3 linked regions of the Lonchura striata genome follow. The protein of the gene in region 2 interacts with the protein of the main gene of each other region in a biochemical or structural test. Links are inferred from orthologs where the notes say so. Each region holds a gene or a part of one and is shown on either strand. Other genes may lie near its edges.

Region 1 (7,246 bases), on a different chromosome or scaffold from region 2:
CACACACCCTGTCTAGGTGGGGAAGCAGCACCTGAACTCAGAGGTAGACTTGTACTGCTGTAACAGACACTACATTTCTTTTTAACTTCTGTTAATTAGAAGCCAGTATAATTTAAACCTTCAAAACCAGCACAAGCGTCGGTACAGATGCTGCAATTAAAGTTCTGCAAGTTCTCTGTGCAGAGGCTCTGCTCCCCCAGCCTGCGGAGCGGGGCCAAGGGCAGCTTCGCTCCCAGGCTCTGCCATCTGCGAGCGGCAGCGCGCCCGGCAAAAGCGCCGTCTGAAATCCCGGAGATCTGGAAGTGTGATAAAAAGCCAAATCCCATCAAGCGCTCCCACAGCAAACCACAGTCTTGAAGGGAAGCCGTCCTCCCGGGAACGGGCTGAGCTGCAGGAGCCGTGCAGCTGTACCGCAGCGCCTGCCCGGCCGCGAGGGCTGAGTAAGGGTTTCAGGTGGGGGAAAACAAAGGGGTGAGTTAATGGGATTAGGGCAGCGCCGAATGATACACTGAAATGCGGCACCAGGAGCAGCGGGGACATCCCCCACGGCCCCCGGCTGCAGCCCGGCCACGACTCACCCGCGCTGCCCCGGAGGCTCCAGGCACGGTGGCACAAACTACTCGCACACCCAGCCCCAGGAGACCCCTCCCAGCAGCCCAGCTCGTCCCCCCCACCCCCTCCCGGGGATGAACGCGCTTCCTGGAGCCGGCAAGGACACGGCACACCGCCCAGACAATAGGCTGTAACGCCATTGTCTGAGGGAGGGCCCCGCACGGCCGCCCCACCTTTCCCCAGCGCCCTGAGCCCCGGGGACCCACGTCTGTCCCTGCTCCCGCACAGCGGCCACAGTGCAAGGAGGGAGCACAATCCTCAGCCACCGCTGCCAGGAGCCCTGTGCGTCCCCGTCCTGATGGCCAACTTGTTTAAGCCAAATTAGCAGTAAAAAATGGGTTTTTCATGACACCTCATGGAAATCCTCCAAAACAATGAGCGATAACAGGCTTCAGATGTGCAAACGCAGTCCCAGTGGGTGCCCTGCACCCTTCCAGCCAGCTCCGACACCGACAAGGACACAGAAATGGACCCCTATAATTTTCTCATCCCTGTTTCCGGCTGGGCCGGACACTCCGGGAGCGGAGCCTGGAGCAGCCCCCGCGGACACTGCACCTGCCCTGGATGCGGCTGAGAGCCCGGAGCAAACGCCCCCGGCAGCGCTGCAGCCCCATCCCCGCGGCAGCTGGCAGGGACACGCTGCGCCCCCGGCTCCCCACCAGCGCATCCAGACGGACACCAGAGCCGCTCGGGGCTGGCACCAGCGCCAAAACCAGCACGACGTGGGCTGGAGCAGGAGGTGAAGCGACTGAGGGGCTGTGTCACAGGGTGTCCCCAGCCCCCACCACCCTTCTGGGATGGGGAAGTTGACAAGAGAACGTGAAACCAGACACAGGACTCACCCAGGCACCCCAACAGCGTTACAGGGAAGCTGGGGGTGCAGGAACTTCCAGCCTGGCTGGAGAGGGTGAAGGCTGATGCCCTCACACTCGGGCAGGCACAACAGTGGCACAGGTCACCCTGTCCCGTCTCCAGCAGCAGCCGTGCCCTCCTGAGCGTTCACGCTCCTCTCCCGGCATACATCGCCCCACGTTGCTCATATGGCAGCCCACGTTTGCCTTCTCCGGGCAACTCCCAGCAACATTTCAGCATTATCCTTTCATCTGTGCTATAAACCTGATTAATTAAGCTAATGCTAATCACTCAGCTAACGCAATTAGAGCGCTCTCTCCTCTCTAAACATCAGACAAACAGCCAAGTTTCACTCCCCCCGCCGTTTCGCGGTGCGGATGTCCCTGGCAGGAGCTCAGCTGGGACCCCCGTGAGCCCTGTGCCCAGCACCCCTCACCCGCGGGGGGCTGTCTTGGGTGATGTCAGGTCACCCTGACGCCCTGTGAGCCCTGTGCCCAGCACCCCTCACCCGCGGGGGGCTGTCTTGGGTGATGTCAGGTCACCCGCATCCCTCTCAGCCCCCAGACATCCCACGCCAGGTGGCGGGCGGAGGGCAGCCCCGGCCCCGCGGGTAGGGACGGCGATGTCGAAGCGATCCGAGGCGGCCTCGAGAGCAGCACGCGGTGTCCCCAGGTGTGACTCTGGGCACGGAGCAGTCCAGTTTGCGTAAGAGCCCCACAGCACCGGGCGAGCGCCGTGCCAGGGCCTCGCCCGCTCCGCGGCAGCTCCGGGCGGGGCCGGGGACAGAGTCACCGCCTCGCACAGGAGCGCGGATCCGCGACTCCCAAACTGGATCCCGCGGCACCGGGAAGGGGCCGGGACAGCCCAGCTGGGCATGGGGGAAGCCCCGGGGACCCGCCCTGCCGGTGCCGCGCAGGACCGGCCGAGCTCACGGGCAGCACACGGCCAGCTCTGCCCCAGACGACGGCAGCGGGGCCGAGCCGGGACGCCCGGTGCTGCCCGGCCCGGACCCAACTCCTCCCCGCCCCGAGAGCGGCCGCTCCCCAGCGCCGCACGGCGGAGTCCCCGCCGCTCCGGTGCAGCCCAGCCCGGAACGACGGACGGCGACGGACGGCCGCGGACCTGGCGCCGTCCCGGCCGCCCCAACTCTGCTCACCGGACCGCTCCCCGCCGCGACCTCCGCCAGCCCGGTCCTGCGGACCCGGAGTGACCTCTGCCCGGTTCAGCCGGCCTATTGCCGGTCACCGCCGCTCCCCCACGCCCGACGCGCCCTGACTCGGCTCCACTCACCGTCGCTCCCCATGCCCAGTGCCCCGCCCCGCTCACCGTCGCTCCCCGTGCCCGACGCGCCAGTCCCGCTCACCGCCGCTGCCCGTGCCCGGCGCCCCGGTCCCACTCACCGTCCTTCCGTGCGCGATGCCTCGGCCCCACTCACCGTCCCTCCCCGCCCGTGCCCGGTGCCCCGGCCCCGCTCACCGTCGCTCTCCGCCGCCCGCCCGCTCCTGCCCGAACAAAAGGCGAGCGGCGCCCCGCGCGCCGCCCCGCCCGCCGCAGGCCCCGCCCCCGCGCCGCCCCTCCGCCATTGGATGCTCCGCACGCCCATCAAGCACTGGGCCCGCCGGGCCCCGCCCCCGCCGGACGTGTTTATTCTTTCCCCATTGGCGGGGGCGCGGACGCCCCGCCCCCTGCCCGCAGCTGATTGGACAGCGGGGCGGGGTGGGCGGGGCGAGACCACGAGGGGACCACCTGGGTGACGTCAGTGGGCGCGGCCAGGTGGGGCCGGGACCCGCCCCTGAGGGCCGGGGGCGCGGGGACCCCCGGGCCGTGCTGGGATCCCCGGATCCTGCGGGGACCCCCGGCCCGTGCTGGGACCCCCGGGCCGTGCTGGGAACCCCCGAGCCGTGCGGGAACCCCCGAGCCGTGCGGAGACCCCCGAGCCGTGCGGGGACCCCCGGGCCGCGCGGCGACCCCCGGCCCATACTGGGACCCCCGGGCTGTGCGGGGACCCCCGAGGCGCGCGGGGAACCCCGGCCCATGCTGGGACCCCCGGGCTGTGCGGATACCCCGGGGCCGTGCGGGGACCCCTCGAGGCAGGAGCGCGGGGGCGACAGGAAGCGGCGTTCGGGAAGGGCTCGGGGCTGCTGGCGCCGCGTCAGCCCGGTCCCCGCCGGACCGGTCCAGCCGGGTGCTGCTGCCGCGTCCCGGGCTAAGCCGCCGTCACCCAGTGCCCGAGTCATCCATTGGACACGTCCCAGCCCAGCTCAGGACCCCCAGGTGTGGGGGAGCAGGAGGATTCTGCCCCGGTGAGGATGAGGAGGGAGCATCGTGCACCCCCGCTGCCTGCACGGTTCCCTGCTACGTCTGGCAGCGAGCGCTGCCAGGCGGGGATTCTCAGCTCCGGAGGAAGGTGAGAGACAGAGCTTCCACCGCCTCTGCAAGAAGAAGGGAATTCATGGCTGTGCGCTGAGCGGGAGATCCGGAGCGCAGCGAGAGAGCTCTCGGCACAGGGAAATGGGCACACGGCACGGCACGGCAGGGCACAGCGCAGGGGAGGCGGCAGCAGACATCTCATCCACGCTCCCCTCTTGGTCAAGGTCGAGGGGACCGCGATGATGCCTTCACCAAGTAACCAACCCATCGCTCCCTGCAGCCCTTCTCCTGCAGCCCAGGACTCCTCCGTGTCCCCCGTCAGTCACCCCGCATCCCATCTCTGCGCCCCTGGCACTGCCCGCAGCTCGGCAGGACAGGACGGTGGCCGTGCCCACGGTCACAGCCACGCCAGGTCACAGCGGCACTGCCAGAGATGCTGCTCCTGCCTGGCACTCCCGGGGTGATGGATGCAGCCATCCAGCACATCCTGCACATCCAGCGGCTCAGGTGGGAGCAGGGAAGGGACCCCGGGCACTCCAGCTCGCAGCTGCAAGGGGCTTTGCCCGGTGCCAGTAGATCAGTGGGAGCAGGGAGCTGTTTTCTCCTCGTGAGTGTGGGGCTGGGGAGGGTGCCCGGGTGTGTGTCAGAGCAGGGCGGAGGCCCCGTGGGCCCAGTGCCACCCTCGCCCAGCTGTTGGGAAGATCCGCAGCCTTTGTCCCCTAGGCTGCGGTGCCAGCCCTGGGCTGAGCGCTCTCCGCTCCTCCGTTCGCGAGTGCCGCTGGCCACACCCCACCCGGCTGGCACTCCCCTCCCGAGGTGGCTGTGCCCCATCGGTGACAAACCCAGCTCCTCCCAAGTGACAGCACAGCCCTGTGAGGTGCAGGGTGCAGTGGGTGCTCCCTCCCAGCACTGCCTCCCCGAGCCCTGAGCTTTGCTCACGGGTCTGGGGGCTCAGCCCCTGCCCCCCGCCCAGTGCCCTGCAGAGCTGGAAAAGCCTCGGTGAACAGGGGCTCCGGGCAGGGCAGGGTGGGGTGCTGGCAGCCTCTTGCCACTCTCTTCCTTCCATTCCCATCCCTTCCCTCCCCCGGGGCCAACGCTGTGATTCAGCCTCTCAGTTTCAGTCCTCGTAGCCAATTTCCACGCCGAGCAACCCGGCAGGGAGGAGTGAGCGGCCACACACTGCCCGATGCCTCGTGCCTAGGACTGGCACAGGTTTGTCAGCACCAACAGAGACCCCCAGTGTGCCCCCAAACACCCTGATGCAGGCAGGAGGAAGTCATCCCACCCTGCCATGCCCACCTTCATCGGGGGATCCAGGCTGCACCCTCTGATCCAGGAGCAGTGTCACAGTGTTGTACCCCAAAACAACCATCAGCTCATGGATATGACATCCCAAAGACCCATATGGGGTAGGACATGCTGCCCTCCAGCCCCCTGCAGCTCCCCCCCCACCTCACCTGACAGACTCAATGAGGGGGTCATGGATCCCATTTGGGGTCCCCCTCATGGGACCCAGAGCCTCACAGGAGCCTGGCTGCTGTCATGGCCTCCATGGGCCCCCAGCCCCACAAGTTCCCCCAGGTCATCTCTGGGGACATCCAGGCCTGAACCGATCTCTTCCTCTCTCACAGCAGAGCCTCTCCTACCCTGGTCTCCTGGATCCCATGGCAGCAGCATATGGAAAGTGGAGGCAGCCGTGAAAAGACCAGTCTGGATTTTATTAAAAGTTCAGCACCAGTAAATATATAAAAAGAGCAACGGTGCAGGAGGGAAAATCTTAAATTAATTGAGCTTAAGGCTAGAGAGGGCTGGTGTGGCAAAAATTCAAGGCACAGGCAGGGCATGGGCACCACAGCCTCACCAGGCTGCAGCCCCATGGTGACACGGGGACATGGCACACTGGGAGCCCCCTGTAGCACCAGGCCAGGGAGTCCAAGGGGACCTGGGCTATGGGAGCTGTCAGATTGCCTGGGAGGCTGGAGAACAGGAGCCTCAGGGAGCCTCAGGAAGGGGCAGGATCAGCTCCAGCAGCATTGTGCATTGCTCCCGAAGTAGGGGCAGCCCTTCAAGCCCCTCAAGAAAAGATAGGGATAAATTCTGGTGCATCATCCAGAGATTCTGGGGAGCAGCTGAGGGACACAGAAAACCCCAGTGCTGTGGGGCATCACTGCTGGTCAGGGCTCCTGCGGAATTGGGGGTGGGGGTAGCCCAGGCTCCTGGGCAGGCAGGGACATTCAGGGATGCTGGTGTTCCACTGATGGGAATTGGGCTGTGCCAGGACAGCAGACATCCAGGTGGCAAAAGCAGTCCTGCCGCAGGATGCAAGGCAGGATTGGCCCCTCCCCATGAGTTTGAGTTTCTACCGGTGGCTGGGAGGAGCTTGAAGCCCGATGTCCCCAAGATGGCATCACAGAGTCACCACCATCCAGCTCAGTTGGTGCTGCTGGCTCCCCCTTCACCTGGCTCATCATAGGATCTCTGCAAACAAGGAGAGTTTGGTGGCACCAGGGGTGTGGGCAGCAGACCCCCCGACCCTACAGCACAACTCCCAGCCTTTGTATCAGGAACCTTGGTCATCTTTGTCTCCTTTGGTCTTGGGTTCCTGCCACCACTCTGCGAAGAAGCCCTCCTCGTAGTCACCTTCGCCCTCGAATTCGCCATCGGAGGGCAGGTCCAGCACCTCTGGCCCCTCACCACCATCCACCTCCATCTGCAGCACAGGAGGGCAGGAGGAGGCAGAGGAGCTCGGCAGCCTCATCTGCAGTCTCTGCTCCAGGACTGCTTTGGGGGGGTCAGACCCCCCCCATCTGCGAAAGGTCCCTGCAGCACCCACACACACCACCCAGCCCCCCCAAAAGCACCATCTGCATCCCGTGTCAGGTACCTCATCGTCATCATCCTGCAGGTACTGCCGGGCGAATTCCAGCATCTCCTTCTGGGCGGCCGTCTGGCTGTGGTAGCGCACGGCTTCCTGGGCACAGGGGCAGAGGGGCTGGGTCAGCTCCTCTCTGGGCAGTGCAGGGCCACAGGACGGGGCTGGGGGGTCCTCACCGGCCGTGGCTCGAAGTCCTCCTCGCGCAGGCGCCAGCGCTCGCGGTGGAAGCGGTAGTAGACCAGGTTCTGCTGCATCACGGTGTCGCCAGGGTCGAAGAGCATGTAGCTGGAGACGCTGCGCACCGCGTCCTGCACGTCGTTCACTGCGGGGACAGCGCCAGCTGACACGGGGGTGACACCCCTCCCAGGGCCACAGCAACCCAGGGTGCCCCAGGGCACAGCCCCCCGCTCCCACCGGCACTCACGCTTGTAGTAAGCGAACTGCAGGTAGTGGTACATGGTGGCCACAAACTTCTCCACGAAGTAGCCACCCACGTTGGGGGTGAGCTCGGTCTCGCAGTCCACCTTGCATTGCAGC
Region 2 (7,308 bases):
AGGCGGGGCCCGATGTCACTAGCTGGGCACCCGGCTGGGCGCGGCAGAGCTGGGCCGCCACGAGGCAGCGGTCAGCGGGCATCACATGAGCCGGGCCGCGCTCCCGAACAAACAGCCTTTGTCTGGGAGAGGGTTGTGCGAGCCAGCGGCACCCAGGCCCCGGAGCCAGCCCTGGCACCGCCGCCCCGGCTGACCCGCGCCCCGGCAGGGGCCGTGCCGGGGTGGGCAAGGAGGCACCGCCGGACGGAGGGAAGGGAACGGAGCCGTGGGTTACATCAGCCCACGAGCAGCCCAGGAATGCGGGCTGGCTGCGGGATGCAAGGGGGTACGATCGCTGCCCCCCTGCCCACCACGGTGCCCCCGAGCCGGCCCGGGAGGAGCCGCCGGTGCGATGCCAGCCCCGCGGCAGGACCCCCGGGCAGGGCGGGCGGAGCCGGTGCGGCCGGCTGGGCAGGAGCGTGCCGGGGCAGGCGGGGAAGGAGAGGCAGCCGCGGGCGCAGCCCCAGCGCTCGGCCTGGCTCGGGGCCCGGTGGGTGCAGGAGGGGCGGCACGGGGCCCCCAGCCCCACACTGCGTGCAGTGAGCGCTCAGTGCTCAGCTCGCACTGGCTTCCAGGAGGGTGCTCAGAACCCGCTCCCCCCTTCCCGCTCTCCCCCTCCAACTCCCCCCCTTCCCACCTGGCTGTGCACAACCTGTTTTTCCAGCTCGGCTGAAGGAGGGCTGGCCCCAGCCCTCCTCTCCCCGGGGCTGCGAGCTGGGGGGGTGGAAGGGGGGCCCTCTCCTGGGAATGATGGGGGTGGGAGAAAAGAAGAACTCAAGAGAGTCCTTCAGGGGGATCCCCCCACTTCAAGGGGGATCCCCCCCCCACTACCATCTACAGAACACTGGGACAACCAGACTGGTACAACCAGGCTGCCAAACTGGGTGTGGGGCTGAGACCCCACACAGGGGATCAGGGCAGGCCCCCAAAGCCACCTCATGTCCTGTGAGGTCTCAGTGGGACTGGGCACAGGCAGAGCAGGGTGTCCCCATCCATCCCTGCAGTGCCACCACCCCGTGTGTTGCACACATGCAGCTGTACAGGGCAGGGGGCTCACCCCAGGGTGAAGGTGCTGCGGGTGACACATCCCACTGACGTCACCCCAGTTTCGCTGTGACTTCAGACTCTCGAGGTTTCTCCACCCAGGATTGAGGGGCACTATCCCAGCCCCCACCACATGCCCACCACCCCAGAGCCCCCCGACCCACGGAGCAGGGCCCTGGCGGTGCCGCAGCCCCCACGCAGGTGTTGCTGTTCGCCGCCCAGGCGCCGCGTGGGGCTTGTCTGGGCCTGTTGGAGGGAAAACACAGTTCTCAACTCATCAAGCTAATTACAGGCCGGATCGTCAGCCTGGCTGCAAGCTTTGGGGTGCTCCATGGCCCAGCACGGCCTGGCATCCACCAGGCTCAGCCACCCCACAGGTGGCATTACTGTGGCACAGCTGTGAATCACTGGGTGCCACACAGGCCTCAAGGGCAGACGGTCCCTTCCTTCCTCCCACGCCCTGACTGTGCCCGGAACCCAAAGCTGAAAGTGCTGGTGCTGGGACAGAGGATTTCCAGCAGGTCTCGGTGCTGCAGGGAAGTCACAGGGCTGCCCGTCACCCCCCCCCCTCGTATCAGGCCCAGCCCTGATGGACATCAACTTGTGCACGTTAATGATCAACCACAAGGCAAACAAACACAATTCCTGGGGTATGGGGCAGGGTCCAATTCCTGGCTCTCCCAGGCGAAGCCATTACAGAGCTGAGGATGTTTGGGAGCCTGGGTGCAGCACTGGGTGCTCATTACCCCTCAGCCCTTTGCCCACCTGGCCACCCTGGCACACACACTGCAGTGCCAGCACCAGTCTCAGCCACGAACTGGTGCAGATGGTGACAACCACTGCACACAGCCCCAGAGCCCACGGAGTCTCTTTTGGGGGTCCCAGAGTGGCAGCAGATCCCCAGCACATGAGTCCCCAGTGCCCCCTTGCCATGCCAGAACAGGGCATTAATGCCAACACAGTGGGACACCAACATCCCCAAAAGCCCAGGAGCCCATCCTGGTGCCCATCCCCATGCCAAGAGCTGGCCTGGCGGCCTACACAGTGGGTCCAAAGCGGGGCTCACCATGGTGAACCCCGGGTGCCAGGCGAGGCACGGGGCAGGGCAGGCGCCTGCGTGCCCCACACCCCAGGCTGCCGGCCCCGACAGGTCTGCGGTGCCTGAGTCAGCGCCGCCCGCGCCGGCGCGCCCCGGGGAGCGGCTGCCGCGGCCCCCGCGCCACGGCACCGTCCCGCCGTGCCAGGACCCCCGACGGCTGCCTGCGCTGGGACCAGCAGTGTGGCCCCTCCGCTGCGTGTGGACACACCAGGCTCTGTCCCCCATGCCACCTGCCACCGCAGCGAGCCTGTCCCCACCGTCATGGCACTGTCCCCGCTGCCACAGCCCTGTCCCCACGGCCCCATCCCCGTGGCCGCGCCAGCACCACTCGGGCACGGAGACACGGCTTTATGTCCCCCACTGGCCGTCCCTGTCCCACACACCCCCCTGTACCCATAGTCCCGTCCTCATCCCACAGCCACCCTGTCCCCACACCCGGTTGTCCCCGTGTCCTTACCCCGTCCCAGTGCCCGTCCCGCCGCCACGCCGTCCCGCGGCACCGTCAGGGTGAAGGTCTCGGCGGCGAAGCCGGGCTGGCACGACGCTGCTCGCTGGCACAGCCGCTGCCCGCTCTGCCCGGAGAGATTCGTTAGCACCGGGCAGGGTCCCGAGCAAGGTCCCGCTGCCCCGGGCAGGGTCTCGGCGGGGTCCTAGGCGGGGTCCTGCCGCCCCATTCCGTGGCTCACCTGGAGCAGGAGCAAGAGGAGGCAGAGAGGGACGGAGCAGCCCGCCCGCCGCCCCATAGCCGGTGCCGGTTGGTGCCGGAGGGATCGGGCGCTGCCGCCGCGGAGTCGCAGGTGCGTCCGGTCCCCTCCCGATCCCTCCTCGCAGGTGTCGGCCCCGCCGAGAACCGCCCCGTCCCGCCCCGACGGGAGGCGGTCCCTCCCCGCCCGCACCCCCGTATTCCCGGTACCTATGACGCCCGGTACCCGGGAACCCCCCACGGTACCGGTGCGGTTCTCTCCCACGGTCCCCGGTACCGTGGTACCCCCAGTACCCCACCAGCCCCCGGTACCCTCTACACGCCTGGTGCTCTGCCCGTCCCAGGTACCCGCTGTTCCTCGAGCCTCTGATATTCCCAGCCCCAGCCACACAGCTCTCGTGCTTTCCATGCCTCTCCCGTCCAGGGTAGTGGGAGCAGGGGGTGTTGGTGGGTGACAGGAGCCAGGAGTACCCCAGGGTGCCCCCATGCCACGGCCCCAGATCCCAGCTCTGCAGCAGGGGACAAACATCGTACCCAGGGACCCCTCGGGCAGGAAGGGCCCCTCAGGATGCTGCAGTCCCTGACTTCCCCTATACCCCTCCATCCCCAAAGCTGGGGAAGGGGACCCCCATCCTGTGTCAGGACCTGATCCTGGAGCCAGTGGGAGACCCTCAGAGCTTAGGGTCCTGCCAAGGCCAGAGGCTGCTGTGCCCACCCATGCTAGCACCCATGGTCATCTCAGGGGGTTGGGGTAGCAGCAGGGCTGTGTCTGCCCAGGCCAGGAGAGATTTAGCACCAGCAATGCCCAATGCCACCAGTGTCACTCCCATGGACAGATTGGCAGTCAGTGCACTGCCCATACCCATCAACACCCCCTGGGGACGAAGACACCCCAGGACGGGGGGCACGGGCACTGGCCCTGCATGGCCAGTGATGCATGACGCTGCAGCTGTGCCAGAGGTTCCACACTGCAGTGGGCAAGGGAGGACAGGGCTGGAGCGGGGTCATTGCTGGGCTAGGGGCAGCACCGACCTCCAGGGCACAAAGTGACACAGACCCTGAAACATCTAAAAAAACCAAATCCTTTATTAAAACTGACCCGGCTCCCATCCCCTTGTCTGCAGCATCACACGCCATCATTCCATACCTTAAAAAATAGATAATAACCACAAAAATGCAGGCGAGGAGGTGAGGGGGCTGCGCTGGGGTGGGGAGGGGGCACGGCAGGGGGAACCCCCAAGGCACAGAAGCAGCAATAAGGCGGGGGCAGAGGCAGGCTGGGGGTCCCTAATCGTCCTCCTCGCCGCCGCCGTAGAGCTCGGCCAGCTTGCGGAAGCGGCCGCCCCAGTCGTTGAGGTAGTCGTAGTCCTGGTCGCCGTCGGAGGCGGAGGAGTTGAGGGAGCTGAGCGAGGTGGCCTCCGAGCCGCTGCCCTCGTAGTCGAACACCAGCAGCGAGTCGTAGGGGGGGGCCGTGGGGTCCGTGTCGGCCGCCTTCAGGTTCTGGGGGAACAGAGGGCTCAGCACCTGTGTCCCCTGCGCCGGTGAGGCAGGGACGTGTCACCCCCGAGGCTCCCGGGGCAGGACTCACCTCGTCGATGAAGTTCCCGATCTCGTCGGGGTTGGCGGGGCGAGGCCGGTACTGGGGGGCCGCCATGAGCGGGGGGGCCACATCATTGCGGATCACCTCGGGCCGGGCGTCCAGCCCCCGGTGCAGCTGCCGCAGGTCATAGTTCTGGGGACACACACACATGGAGAGGGGCACAGTCAGGTTGCTCACGCTGTCACCAGGTCCCTGACCCCCACACCCACCTGGTCCTCCTCGCCGCCACCTTCCTCCCCGTAGTAGAAGATGTTGTCCCTTGTGTCATCTTCAGGCAGCAGCAGCGGCTCCTTTGTCACCTTCCTCCTCCTCATGAAGAGCAGCAGCAGCAGCAGGATGACTGAGGGGCAGAGTGCCATCAGGAGGGACATGTGTCCCCCTCTGTGCCCAGAGCTGGGGTATCCCCGCAGCCCCAGGAGCCCCAGGATCTCCACTCACGCAGCAGGGCCAGCAGCGCGCCCAGGGTGGCGAGGACGAAGGGCAGGGCGGTGACAGGCTGGGACCTCTGGGGACAGCCCTGTGCCTGCCCCTCACAGGCGCAGACCCGTGCGGTGACAATGGTCACTTGGGCTCTGCCCGGCTGGTCCAGCAGCCGCAGGTACACACTGTAGGTGTCTGGCTCCAGCGGTGCCACCAGCTGCAGTGTCACTGTGTCACCTGCGTGGGATTGGGGGCTCACGGACAACGCACCAGGAATGCGGCCGTGGCACAGCTGCCTCTGCCGAGGACCCCCACAGTATGTTCAGCCCCCCTGCAATACCTGTGTCCCCCACCTCCACAGCCCAGCTGTCCCCCGAGCCGTGGGTGAGCTCGGCGCGGAAGGGGCCGGTGTTGGGGGGCAGGTCCCGGTCGGTGACGGTGAGGAGCTGGGGCTGGGGACTGCGCTGGCAGACTGTGATGTCCCGTGGCTCCGCCTCGGGGCCGTTGTCGTTCACATCGAGCAGGGTGAGGAGTAGCGTGCCCGTGCCCGTGGCCGGTGGTGAGCCTGGTGGGGACAGTTCTGGAGGGGGGATCCCAAACCCAGGGCTCTCATGGGGACATGGGTGACTAAGCAGGCATGGGGACAGGAGGAGCCTCAAAACCAAGGCTTTCCCAGGGACAGAGCCGCTGTGGGCAAGGGTGGGAACAGCAAGGAGTGATGCTGGAAGGGGCAGTCCCAAACCCAGGATCCTCAGGGAGCTGGGGTTCCCCGGGCAGGGTGGGGCCAGGCTGGAGTTGGGATGTGTTTCCTGGTGATGGCAGCACGTGTTCCTCACGCGGGAGGGGGAACAAGGGCCCTTTCATGTCCCTCACCATCATCCACGGCCAGCAGCACAGCTATGTAGGTGCTGTTCTTGACGAAGGGGGACTCGCGGTCCAGGTGGTCCCGTGCGGTCACCAGGCCATTCTCAGGGTGCACGGCCAGCCAGCCCGCCGGGTCGTGCCCCACCAGGTACCTGGGGGGCACAGGGAGCTGGTGCTAGGGCGAGGGGCAGCAGAGATCCCCCAAACCTCCACTCCAACCCTGTTCCCGCTCACTTGATCGTCTGGCCCTGTGCCTTGTCAGGGTCCTGGGCCATGCAGGCTGTGAGGGTCTGCCCCGGGGGCACATCCTCTGACACCGTGGCCAGCTGCACGGGTGGCACGAACTCCGGGGCCTCATTGACATCCTCTACAGTGACAGTCACCGTAGCAGTGGCCATCGGCAGCTTCACGACGAAGGGGACCTCGTTGGCCACTGCCACGTGGAGCACGAACTGCTGCTTGGCCTCATAGTCCAGACCCTGGCAGAGGGGGAGACACCGGCAGTGACAGTGGGACAGGCAGGACTCTCCGTGGGCAGCATGGGGGACATGGGATGACAAAGACCTTGGCAGTGCGGAGGATGCCCTCGTTGGTGGCGGGATCGGTGGTGATGGCAAAGGCACCCCCGTCGTTGCCGCGCAGGATGGAGTAGACGGCTCGCCACGCCGGCGTGCCGGGCTCGTCCAGGTCGGTGACAGCCAGCCGGGCCACCTCCTGCCCGGCCGCGTTCTCCGGCACGGCCGCCTCGTACTGCAGGTGAGGGGCATCATCAGCACCACGGCCCAGCGGGCACCAGGAGAATCACACCAGTGGGGGTGCCCACATTACCATTTTGGGGTCAAACTCGGGGGCATTGTCATTGACGTCGGCGATCTCGATGACAGCCAGCGCTGTGGTGGTCAGTCCCTCACCATCCAGGTCAGCTGCCTGCACGGTCAGTGTGTACTCCCGCACACGCTGTGGTGGACAGACAGACAGACAGACAGACAGACACTGTGTCAGTCCCTGCTTGGGGCTGGGACCCTGCCCCACAGTGCTGCAGAGCCCACCTCCCGGTCGAGGCCGCTGGCAATCACGCTGAGGGTGCCAGTGGCCCGGTTGACAGTGAACATTTGGGGATGGGGCTCCCGTGGCTCCTGGCTGAGGATGGAGTAGGCAATGACACCATTGTAGGTCTCCACTGCATCGTCCGCATCCGTGGCTGTCACCTGCATGATGGAGGTGCCTGGGGATGTGGGTGTGCAGGTAAGTGGGATGCTGGGGGGCACAGTGCCGAGGCTGTGCCCAAGGAATACGGCTGGTGGGATGCAGAGCTTCCCCAAGGCCCGGGGTCCTACCTGGCAGAGCTCCCTCTGGCACAGAGCCCCTGAACACCTCCTGTGTGAACTGGGGCTTGTTGTCATTCTGGTCCGTCACTGTCACGATGATCTCCATCGGCTCCTCCACGGGCTTCCCGTTCTCAGACACGGCGTGGGAGAAGAGCTGCGGGGTGGGGTGTGAGTGGGGGGCCTGGCACAGCACCCCAACATCCCTCTGGTG
Region 3 (8,055 bases), on a different chromosome or scaffold from region 2:
GATCACACTGCGCCCACTGCCATACCCAAGCCCCCCAACAGGCTGAAGGCACACAAGAACACAACAAAGCCCATTAATCCAGAGGTCAGGCCCCACATGCAGCAGTCACTGGACAGGGCAGAGGGACAGGCACTCCTGTGCCAAACCAACACCAGCAGCCTTCCTGGAGGGAAGGAAGGCGGATTAGCAACAAGCACAAGACAGGCGGGAGCTGGACAGACTCATCAGCCTGCTGCTGGGGGTTTCCAGGACAAGAACTTGCTCTAAGAAGCCATTTCCTCCCCCAAAAAGCCTCCTTGGATTATATAAAGCAAAGAGAAGGTTGTGGCCACCTCAGAGAAATCGAGGACTTTGGTCGAGAGCCCGTCAATCCAACCCCTTTCTGACAGCCTAGCACTGAGGCACATTCCTGAACTCTGTGCCAGAGGACAACCTCCTCCGCTGGCCAAGCCCTGTGTCACACACAGAGGAGTGCCTGAATTGCCCAGGTTCGGGTTTTGTCATCAAATCCAGGCAACACCTGTTGTCTCCTATTGACCCAAACCAGCTCCAGGTTCCGCTTCTCCCCGTCAGCAAAGCAGGGACAGGACACAGCCACAGTGCTGCAGAGACACAAATGTTCAGAGCCAGGAGAGCTCTGTACTTCCCTGGAGACAGCATCACCACAGTCTTGGGAAAGGGCTCTGTCCTTGCCAGCAGTAAATGAGAGACAGTTTTGAGGGGTTGTTGGGAAGAGAAACCAAGAGCTTTACCCAGCACTTTCCCCCTAAGGCCATAGACACTGGTAAGTTATTTTGAGAAGCCAACAGCCTTCCAGGCATGATCCAAGCCACACTATTATTTTCTGGGTGTCCTAAAGCCACCTCCACTGCAGATACAATGGGCCAAGGTCTTATCTCCATGCCAGAGGCCGGAGGAGGGAAGAAATGAGAGGCAATCCAGGGACAGACACCGGCTCTGCGGTCTGGGCTGGACCATTCATCTGACTCCCAGCCCATCTTTAGGGAAGGGATGGCCTCAAGGGCTCCTCAACCACAACGATCAGGCCCTGACCTCTGCGTCGGAAGGGAGGAGGCTCAGCCCTCTGTGGCAGTCCAGGCAAGCCTGCATGCTCCACTGAGCGAGCGCTTTCATCCTCCCACTGCTTCCAGGAAGGTTCCGCACGAGATTCCAGCAATGCTGCACACGGCAAAGGACAGTCAACGGCACACTCAAGAGTCCAGCCAAACTCAACCAAGTGGAAGAACAAATCCTTAAAAACTGCCTTTATGCTGTTGACAGAGCATGAGCAAACACCAGCAGGTGAAGAACCTGCCTCAAGAAAGCCCTGGGAGCAGGATGGAGCAGACAAGGTAACTCTGGGGAAGACAACTAACAATTTTCCTGCCTAGGCTCTTGCCACTGACCTGCTGGACATGGCCCCGGCTCCATTGGCAGGAGCTCCAGCAGAGGCAGGAGCCTGGGAGTCACCAGCCAGCTGTTGACCCTACCTTGCCACATCCAGGAGAGAGGGCATGGAAGCTGAAACTCCAAACAGAAGCTGCGAGCATGGCTTACAGGATCCCAGCACACCTGCAAAGCTGAGGACAAGCTCAATTCTCCACACCAAAGACCTGGACAGTCAAGTCCAAAAGCATCTGTGCAGTGCAGGGAGGGCATCAGTGAAACTACAGGTAGCTGCAGTTCAATACAATCACATGACTCCATGTGCCCAGATGTTCTTCTCTGGCTCACCGGGAGCTGGGAAGAAGCCTGGGAGAGGAGCCTCCAGCTCCAGCTGGTCACAGGACAGCCCAGGCCCCCAAAATAACACCCTGTGAGCCCCATCATCACTGGCTCCCTGGAAGGGCAAGGGCACCAAGCCCTTGGGGAGAGAGGGAGGCACTTCAGGAGGTCCACTGCTCTCTCCAACAATCAGAGGAAGCTTTGTTGTCCAGGCTCCCTCGCCCAAAGCCCAGGGCCATAACGGAGGTGCCCCACCTCCCTTCTGCCAGCGCGCGGGTGCCTCGCAGATGCCAGCAGCCCTCATGACTGAGAGGCACGCAAACTTTCTCACCCCAAGCAAAGTCTCTTCTCTGCAACGCTCCGAAGAGGCATAGGAACGCCCACCGTGCAGGGGAAAGCGATGCCGGGGGACGGTCACCGGAGAAGGCAGGACGAGCGCTGGACAGGGGGAGGCAGCCGGGCTGTCGCTAAATGACAGTGTGGCCAAGGCAGACTCAGAACGAACCGGCGGCTGAGCAGACCCCCGAGGTCGGCTCCGGCACCGTCCTGCCTCTCGGAAAGCACTTCGGAGTCGCTTGTGAGCTCGGGTGGACGGGCCTGTCGGGCTGTTTTGAAGCTCAGAGCGATTCCATTAGGAGGAGCCGCAGCCCCACCCGCACACTTGACCCCCCCGGGCACACCGGCCCCTTCCCCGGCAGAACAAAGGCGCAGGCGAACGACACACCGGGCGAGGAGCCCCTGCGGAGAGCGGCAGAGCCGAACTGGGCGGCGGGACGCGGAGTCGGAAAGCCGGACCGTGCCTCGGCCGAGACCCCGCGGAGGGACCCAGCCCCGCTCCCCGCCCGAGGGCGGGGGGGCCCGCCGGTGCCGGCCGCGGGAAGCTGGCACACGGGCCGCCTTTGTTCCGGGCAGGGCGAGCGGCGGCGGCCCCGGGCGGGGAGCGGGGCGGCCGCCCGGCCCAGCCGCCTTTGTGTCGCTCCCCGCGGGCTCCCGGGCGCCGCCAGCGCCCCCGCCAGGGCCGGGCCCCGCCGCCCCACCGGTCCCGCGGGGCGCGGCCGCGCTTGGCACGGGTTCCCGGGCAGGACGGGACTCTAGGGACCCGGTACCTACCGGCCCCGGCAGGAGAGCGCGGCCAAGCCCCGATCCGGCCCCGCCGGGCGAGGACCGGCCCGTCCCGCCCCGCCGCCGCCGCGGGGGCGTGCGGCGCCCGGCAGGCGCCGGCCCGCACCGGCTCTGCTCCCTCCCCTCTGCCCCCTGAGCGGCGGCACGGACGCCGCGATCGGGACTCACCGTGGCCGGGCTCCTCGGCGGACGGGCGAGGGCAGGCGGTCCCGCCCCGCGGCGGCGGCGGCACGGCCGCCCGGCCCGCTCCGCTCCGCGGGTCCCGCCGCGGCGGCGAGGCGAGAGGCGAGGCGGGCGCCCGGTGCGGCGGCGGCGCGGGTCAGGCCGGGTCCCGCCGGGCGGCGCGGGGCGGTGTGTGCGGAGCGCGGCGTCGGTCGGGTCCCGCCGTGCGCCCGCGCCGCTCCCGCACCTAAAATGGAAGTTGGTCCGGCGGGCGGGGCGGGGCGGGCGCGGGGCCGCCCCCGGCGTCAGCAGCCGCGACAAGGACGGGCGGGACCGGGGCGGGGCCGGGGCGGATGTCCCGGTGGGGTCTGGCCGGAGGACGGTGTGTTCTCCGCGTGCTCCATCCTGGTGGGATGTGCCCCAGCGGTGCATGTTCTCCAAACCGGGGTCTGCCCTCAGATGGGCTCCACCTCGGGACCATGGCGCCCGGGAGCAGACCAGCTCCTCCTCAAGGTCCGGGTCTGCCCCGGCGTGGTGCACCAAGGGGCTCTCTGGGACACCCCCGGAGTAGAGCCTCCTCCGGCCGGTCCCTCTGGAGCGGCGGGAAACCAGCTTACCCTGTACAGGGCAGAACTTGCCCAGAAGGGAGATTCCCTGGCAGGATGGGCTGCACTACGTCCCCGGGAGGTTAACCCGTTCCCTCCCTCTGGCCCTAGGGAGCAGGTGCTGGTGGGACTCCAGCCACAGCTCATCCTCTGTGGTGGAGGGTTTCCCCTTCCCGGAGAGGCAAGGAAGTAACGCCAGGCCAGCCCCACGGCGTGTTCCGGGCTGCTCACCTGGGAGAAGTCCAAGTCCCCCGAAGGTGTCTGACCGGGGAGAACCCTGCCTGCTCCTGTCTGCCTAACTCTCAGTGAGATAATGATAGAGGAAAAGAGCTGGGGACGGTTTTGGGTGGGACAGGTGATTCCTGGGGTAAATATGCACTGGGAGGCAGGGAAGATGTGATAACAGCCTGCGGATGGAGGTGTGAAGGAGGTGATCCAGAGCTCTGTACGGATTGCTAAAGGTGGTGCAGAAAGGTGTAATGAGGTGAAATGGGATTTGATGCATAAAAAGGGAACATCTAGGGAGATGATCGGGGCATGGGGACCCCCAAACCCTCCCTGATGTTTGGTTTGTAAAATAGACCATCCAACCAGCTGGGAGCAGATGGAGAGCTGGTCCACATGTCCCAGGGAGGAGAGGGTCTCTCCATTCCACAGCAAGTGAGTGAGACCTTCTCTCTGCATCCCTTCATCCTTGTTGTCACCCAAAATGAGCAAACTGGATCCCCTCTCAGCCTTGTACCTTGAGTGAGAACAGCTCCCAGATTAGAAATAATCCCCATCTGCCCTCCCTTCCTCTTGGCCCACCACAAGGAGGAAGGTGAGTGTATTCCCTGAGTCTCAGAGACAAGGAAGGAGAAGAGGTGCTCTCAAAATTCCTTCTGGGAGAAAGAGTCCTCGTTCACCTGACACCTCCCAAGGGGCAGCTCTCCCTCAGGGAAAAGGCATCAGAAACACCTTGCTCCTCCATCCCAGCACCAATGACATGTCCTTTGAGGCCTCTGCCCGGGCAGTTGGGGCAGCAGGGGCTCGGAGGTTCATGCATGGTCCTGGCCCAGTCACACCCTCCCTATGCCCTCTTCAAAGGCTAAAGGTGCTCTTACAAACACGACTCTGACGCTGGGCAAGTGCCTCCTGTCCCCAGGATGGAGCTGCACAGGGCTTATCCAGGCTGGCCCTGCCCCAGCCCTGCCCTGACAGCTGGAACACCCGGTAGCACATGCTTACTTTGGAAGGCAGGCTGGACCCTGATCCTTCAGCTTCAGCTGGAGGATCATGCTCTTGTTTGACTATAACTCCTGGGGCAGAGGAGCCTGTCTCACTGCGTTCTGGGAAGAAGAGAGATGTGTTCCTAGCATGGGAAAGTTTCCCCTCTTTTACAGTAATTGCTTGTAATAACATCTTGCACATCCCCTTTCATCCTACAGCTGATGCCTTTCCCAGATGAGACGCCCAGAAGTGCAGCTGCCACCGGAACAGAGCAAGACAATTTGTTTACAAGGCAGGCCCGTGCTCTCGGCGGCCGAGGGCAGGAGGAAGGGGAGGCTGCTGGCTCCAGGTCCACGCAGGCAGCTCAGGGGATGGCCTGCATTGTTCCAGGTCAGGATAACAAGGCCCTTCCGCAGCCCCTTTCCTATGGGAATCCTGACGGGTTGTTGGCCCTCCTTGCACGAGGGGAAGTGCGGCACCAGGAGGGGGGAGAAGGAGGGAAGCGGGCCTGAAGGAGCTTTCCAGCTCCAATTGGAAGATGCCAGGCCACAGAGCAAGCCTAGAGCCCACCCTGCCACCTTCCCAGTGCAGCTCCATGTGCTTGGTGTTGTCCCTGCTTCCCACCAGCCTCCCACTGTGCTTGGGCTCTCTCATGCCCACAGACCATCCTGCTTTCAGCCTAGCTGCATCCTGTCATGCCCTCAGACTGTCAAATTCCTGGTACATCTTTTGCCCAAATGTACACGTGACTTAAGCATGCACAGAAATCTCCTTCCCCCCCAGCCCCACAAGGATCTATTGCCACTTACAGTCTCTTTCTTCTCTCCTTTCTCAGTGCCTTTCCCAGCCTCAGATCTTGCCTTCATCCATCCCTTTTGCCACTGTGCAGGGTCCAAGGTCCCTCTGGAGAGCAGGGACTCTGAGGCAGGTCCTGCCCTGCAACACAGGCAAAGGCGACATAGCTGAAAATGATCCCGGCTATGAGAATTGAGAAGGGAATTTCCTTTCTCTTCCAGAAACTGGCTCAGAAACTGCTGATTTGAGGGCTTGGGAGACACTGTAAAGACAAGATTTGTCCTGTGAGGAGGCCTCCTATCAATAGCAGAGGGAGCCTGAACAGGCAGCACAGTTTAGGCCTTGCCCTCACTTTGCAGTCAATCCCACCAGGAGATAAACCCTGCTGGACATTCCCAACCCTCTGAGTCACCCAGGGTTTCGACCAGCCAAGGGCCAAGGACACCAGCTGTGCTGCAGGTCTGCAGCCTCTGATCACCTGAAGATAGACAGAAAGATTCAGGGTCTGACACGATTTACAGTGAAAACTGCAATCCCATACTTTCCCCCAGGAAAATCTGGTAGAAGAAATGGAGTTTAGAGAGAGGGGTGAATGGGACAAAAGGCTGCTGGTGATTTTTCTACTCTGTGTTATTTGGCTTTGGATACTAGTAAAAATGACACTCATAAAAGGCCTCTTTTGTGTACCTGCAAAGGGAGTGGTTGCTCGGTTGCCAGTTGAGTATCAGTGAATTTTAAGGGCAGACGAGGCCACTGGTGGTGGGGGGGGAGCAGCGCTGCAGCTGTCGGGGTACAGTGGAGTGGGGGCTTTCCCTAACAGGGTTACTGCTGAAACATTAACCCCCCTGCTTGCTGGAATGTGGCTGCCCCCTGTCCCACTGTGGTCCCACTCACTGTCACAGGGCACTCCATGGCATCTGGATCCATGCACTCCCAGTGAGGTCAGGCTTTCCAGGCGACAGCTCCGATCATTGTAATTCCACAGGATTGCAAGGGGTGGGGGAGGAAACATCTCTATTTTCCTTCTATTTTTATGAGCATATGATAGCACTTTGATATGAAATTACTTGTTTTCTGCATCCCTTGGTATTCCGGGCTGGGCTCCAAGCCACCCGGGGGCAGTGACAGACTGCCAGTGACCTCAAAGGCCTCTGGCTCAGGCCTGGCACCAGCCACTTTCTTCATTGGTTTGTGTCCATTTTGCAAAAACGGAGAAGAAAAACCACCCTCACATGTCCAACCAGATGAAAATCCCTCTGCAAGACCACATTTGAAGACTTTGTAGATTTAAACTCTACGGCGACATTCAGGCTCCTGTCCTTCTGCAGCTCCTGAAACTTCCACCCACTTGGGTTGTTTGTAGGAACAGCCACTGTCTCCAGGCAATGGGGATGGATTATAATCTTTGCTCATGTGTGTGGAGTGACTGACGCAGATTTTTGTACAATGGGTGCTTTATAACGTGGCAAAAAACTTTCAAACTAAGTGGGCAGCATCGCTTGCTTGAAGGATGCCTTCCAAAGCACCATCAATCCTCCCCTTCAGGAGCCTGGGGCACAAAAACACCCTTCCTCACACGCGAGGGCCCAGTGGAGTCTGAAAATCCAAACCAAGGTGGAGCCCTTGAACCCAGAGCTGCTCCAGACAGCAGATGCTCCAGACAGCACCTTCCCCATTATCAACCCCGTGTTCTTCAGTGCCACCGCTGCAGTGACCATAAGCGGCCCTGGCCTGGCTGTCGTGTCCGGGCCCGATGGTGATGAGGGAGGGACGAGCACCACCACAGGCGGCGGCGGCACCCAGGCTGCCCTCAGCGCGGCCGCCATCGCACCACAAAACACGAGCGGTGCCTCCGGCCCTGGGCAGAGCAGGGCACGGCGGCTGGGGAGGGCTGCGGAAGGGGTCGGGCACGGCAGGCGGGGCGGCGCCGAGCCCCGCTCCCAGCGCTCGCGGCGCCGCCCCGGCCGGGCCGCTCCCGCCGCGCCGCCACAATGGGTGGGGCGAGGCCGCCGCACCACGTGAGGCCGCGGGCGCGAGGCGAGGGCGCGCAGGGCCCCGGTCCCGGTCCCCGCTGCCCGCGGCCGCGCTGCGAGCTCCGGACTCACCCCCGGGGCGATTCGGCGGCGGCCCGAGCGCCCCTCGGCAGGTACGCGGCCTCAGGGCGCCGGCTGTGGCGCCCCCTGGCGGACGCGGGAGGCCGGGGCGGCGGGGCCGGGGCGGGGTCCGGCGGCCACCGGGGGGACAGCACTGGGGCACGGGCACACGGGCCTCTGCAGACCCCGGCCCTGCCACATCCCAGCCACAAGCCATTGGGATAGCGCGAAGAGAGCAGGCAGGCGCTGGTCCCCGAGTCCCCAGCACGACGCTGTCTGTCCCTGCAGGACGGCCATGGGCTCTCCCGCAGCCAGCCGGCAGCTGCTGTACCGCAGCACCCGCC

What was found.
Region 1: the proteins of cadherin-1 (region 2) and JUP form a complex in vitro, tested with the Homo sapiens proteins (2 studies listed by BioGRID). The link is inferred for Lonchura striata from reciprocal best matches to the Homo sapiens genes CDH1 and JUP.
Region 3: the proteins of cadherin-1 (region 2) and CTNND1 form a complex in vitro, tested with the Homo sapiens proteins (5 studies listed by BioGRID and IntAct, with this or other methods). The link is inferred for Lonchura striata from reciprocal best matches to the Homo sapiens genes CDH1 and CTNND1.

Annotation. Positions count from the first base shown.
Region 1 is NC_134627.1:6,608,658-6,615,903, reverse strand, and holds the start of JUP (junction plakoglobin), read right to left. Parts: upstream 3,008-7,246; 5' UTR 2,941-3,007; exon of another isoform or gene 2,865-2,940; intron 2,727-2,864; exon of another isoform or gene 2,621-2,726; intron 1-2,620. Other genes in the region: P3H4 (endoplasmic reticulum protein SC65), read right to left, coding at 6,302-6,312, 6,403-6,544, 6,719-6,805, 6,886-7,031, 7,134-7,246. UniProt on the Homo sapiens protein: Common junctional plaque protein. The membrane-associated plaques are architectural elements in an important strategic position to influence the arrangement and function of both the cytoskeleton and the cells within the tissue.
Region 2 is NC_134615.1:22,960,201-22,967,508, reverse strand, and holds the start of cadherin-1, read right to left. Parts: upstream 3,011-7,308; 5' UTR 2,926-3,010; coding exon 2,869-2,925; intron 2,755-2,868; coding exon 2,640-2,754; intron 1-2,639. Other genes in the region: B-cadherin-like, read right to left, coding at 4,173-4,385, 4,474-4,617, 4,695-4,825, 4,924-5,142, 5,246-5,470, 5,779-5,921, 6,004-6,248, 6,334-6,519 and 3 more.
Region 3 is NC_134608.1:53,102,685-53,110,739, forward strand, and holds the start of CTNND1 (catenin delta-1), read right to left. Parts: upstream 3,082-8,055; 5' UTR 3,016-3,081; intron 1-3,015. UniProt on the Homo sapiens protein: Key regulator of cell-cell adhesion that associates with and regulates the cell adhesion properties of both C-, E- and N-cadherins, being critical for their surface stability.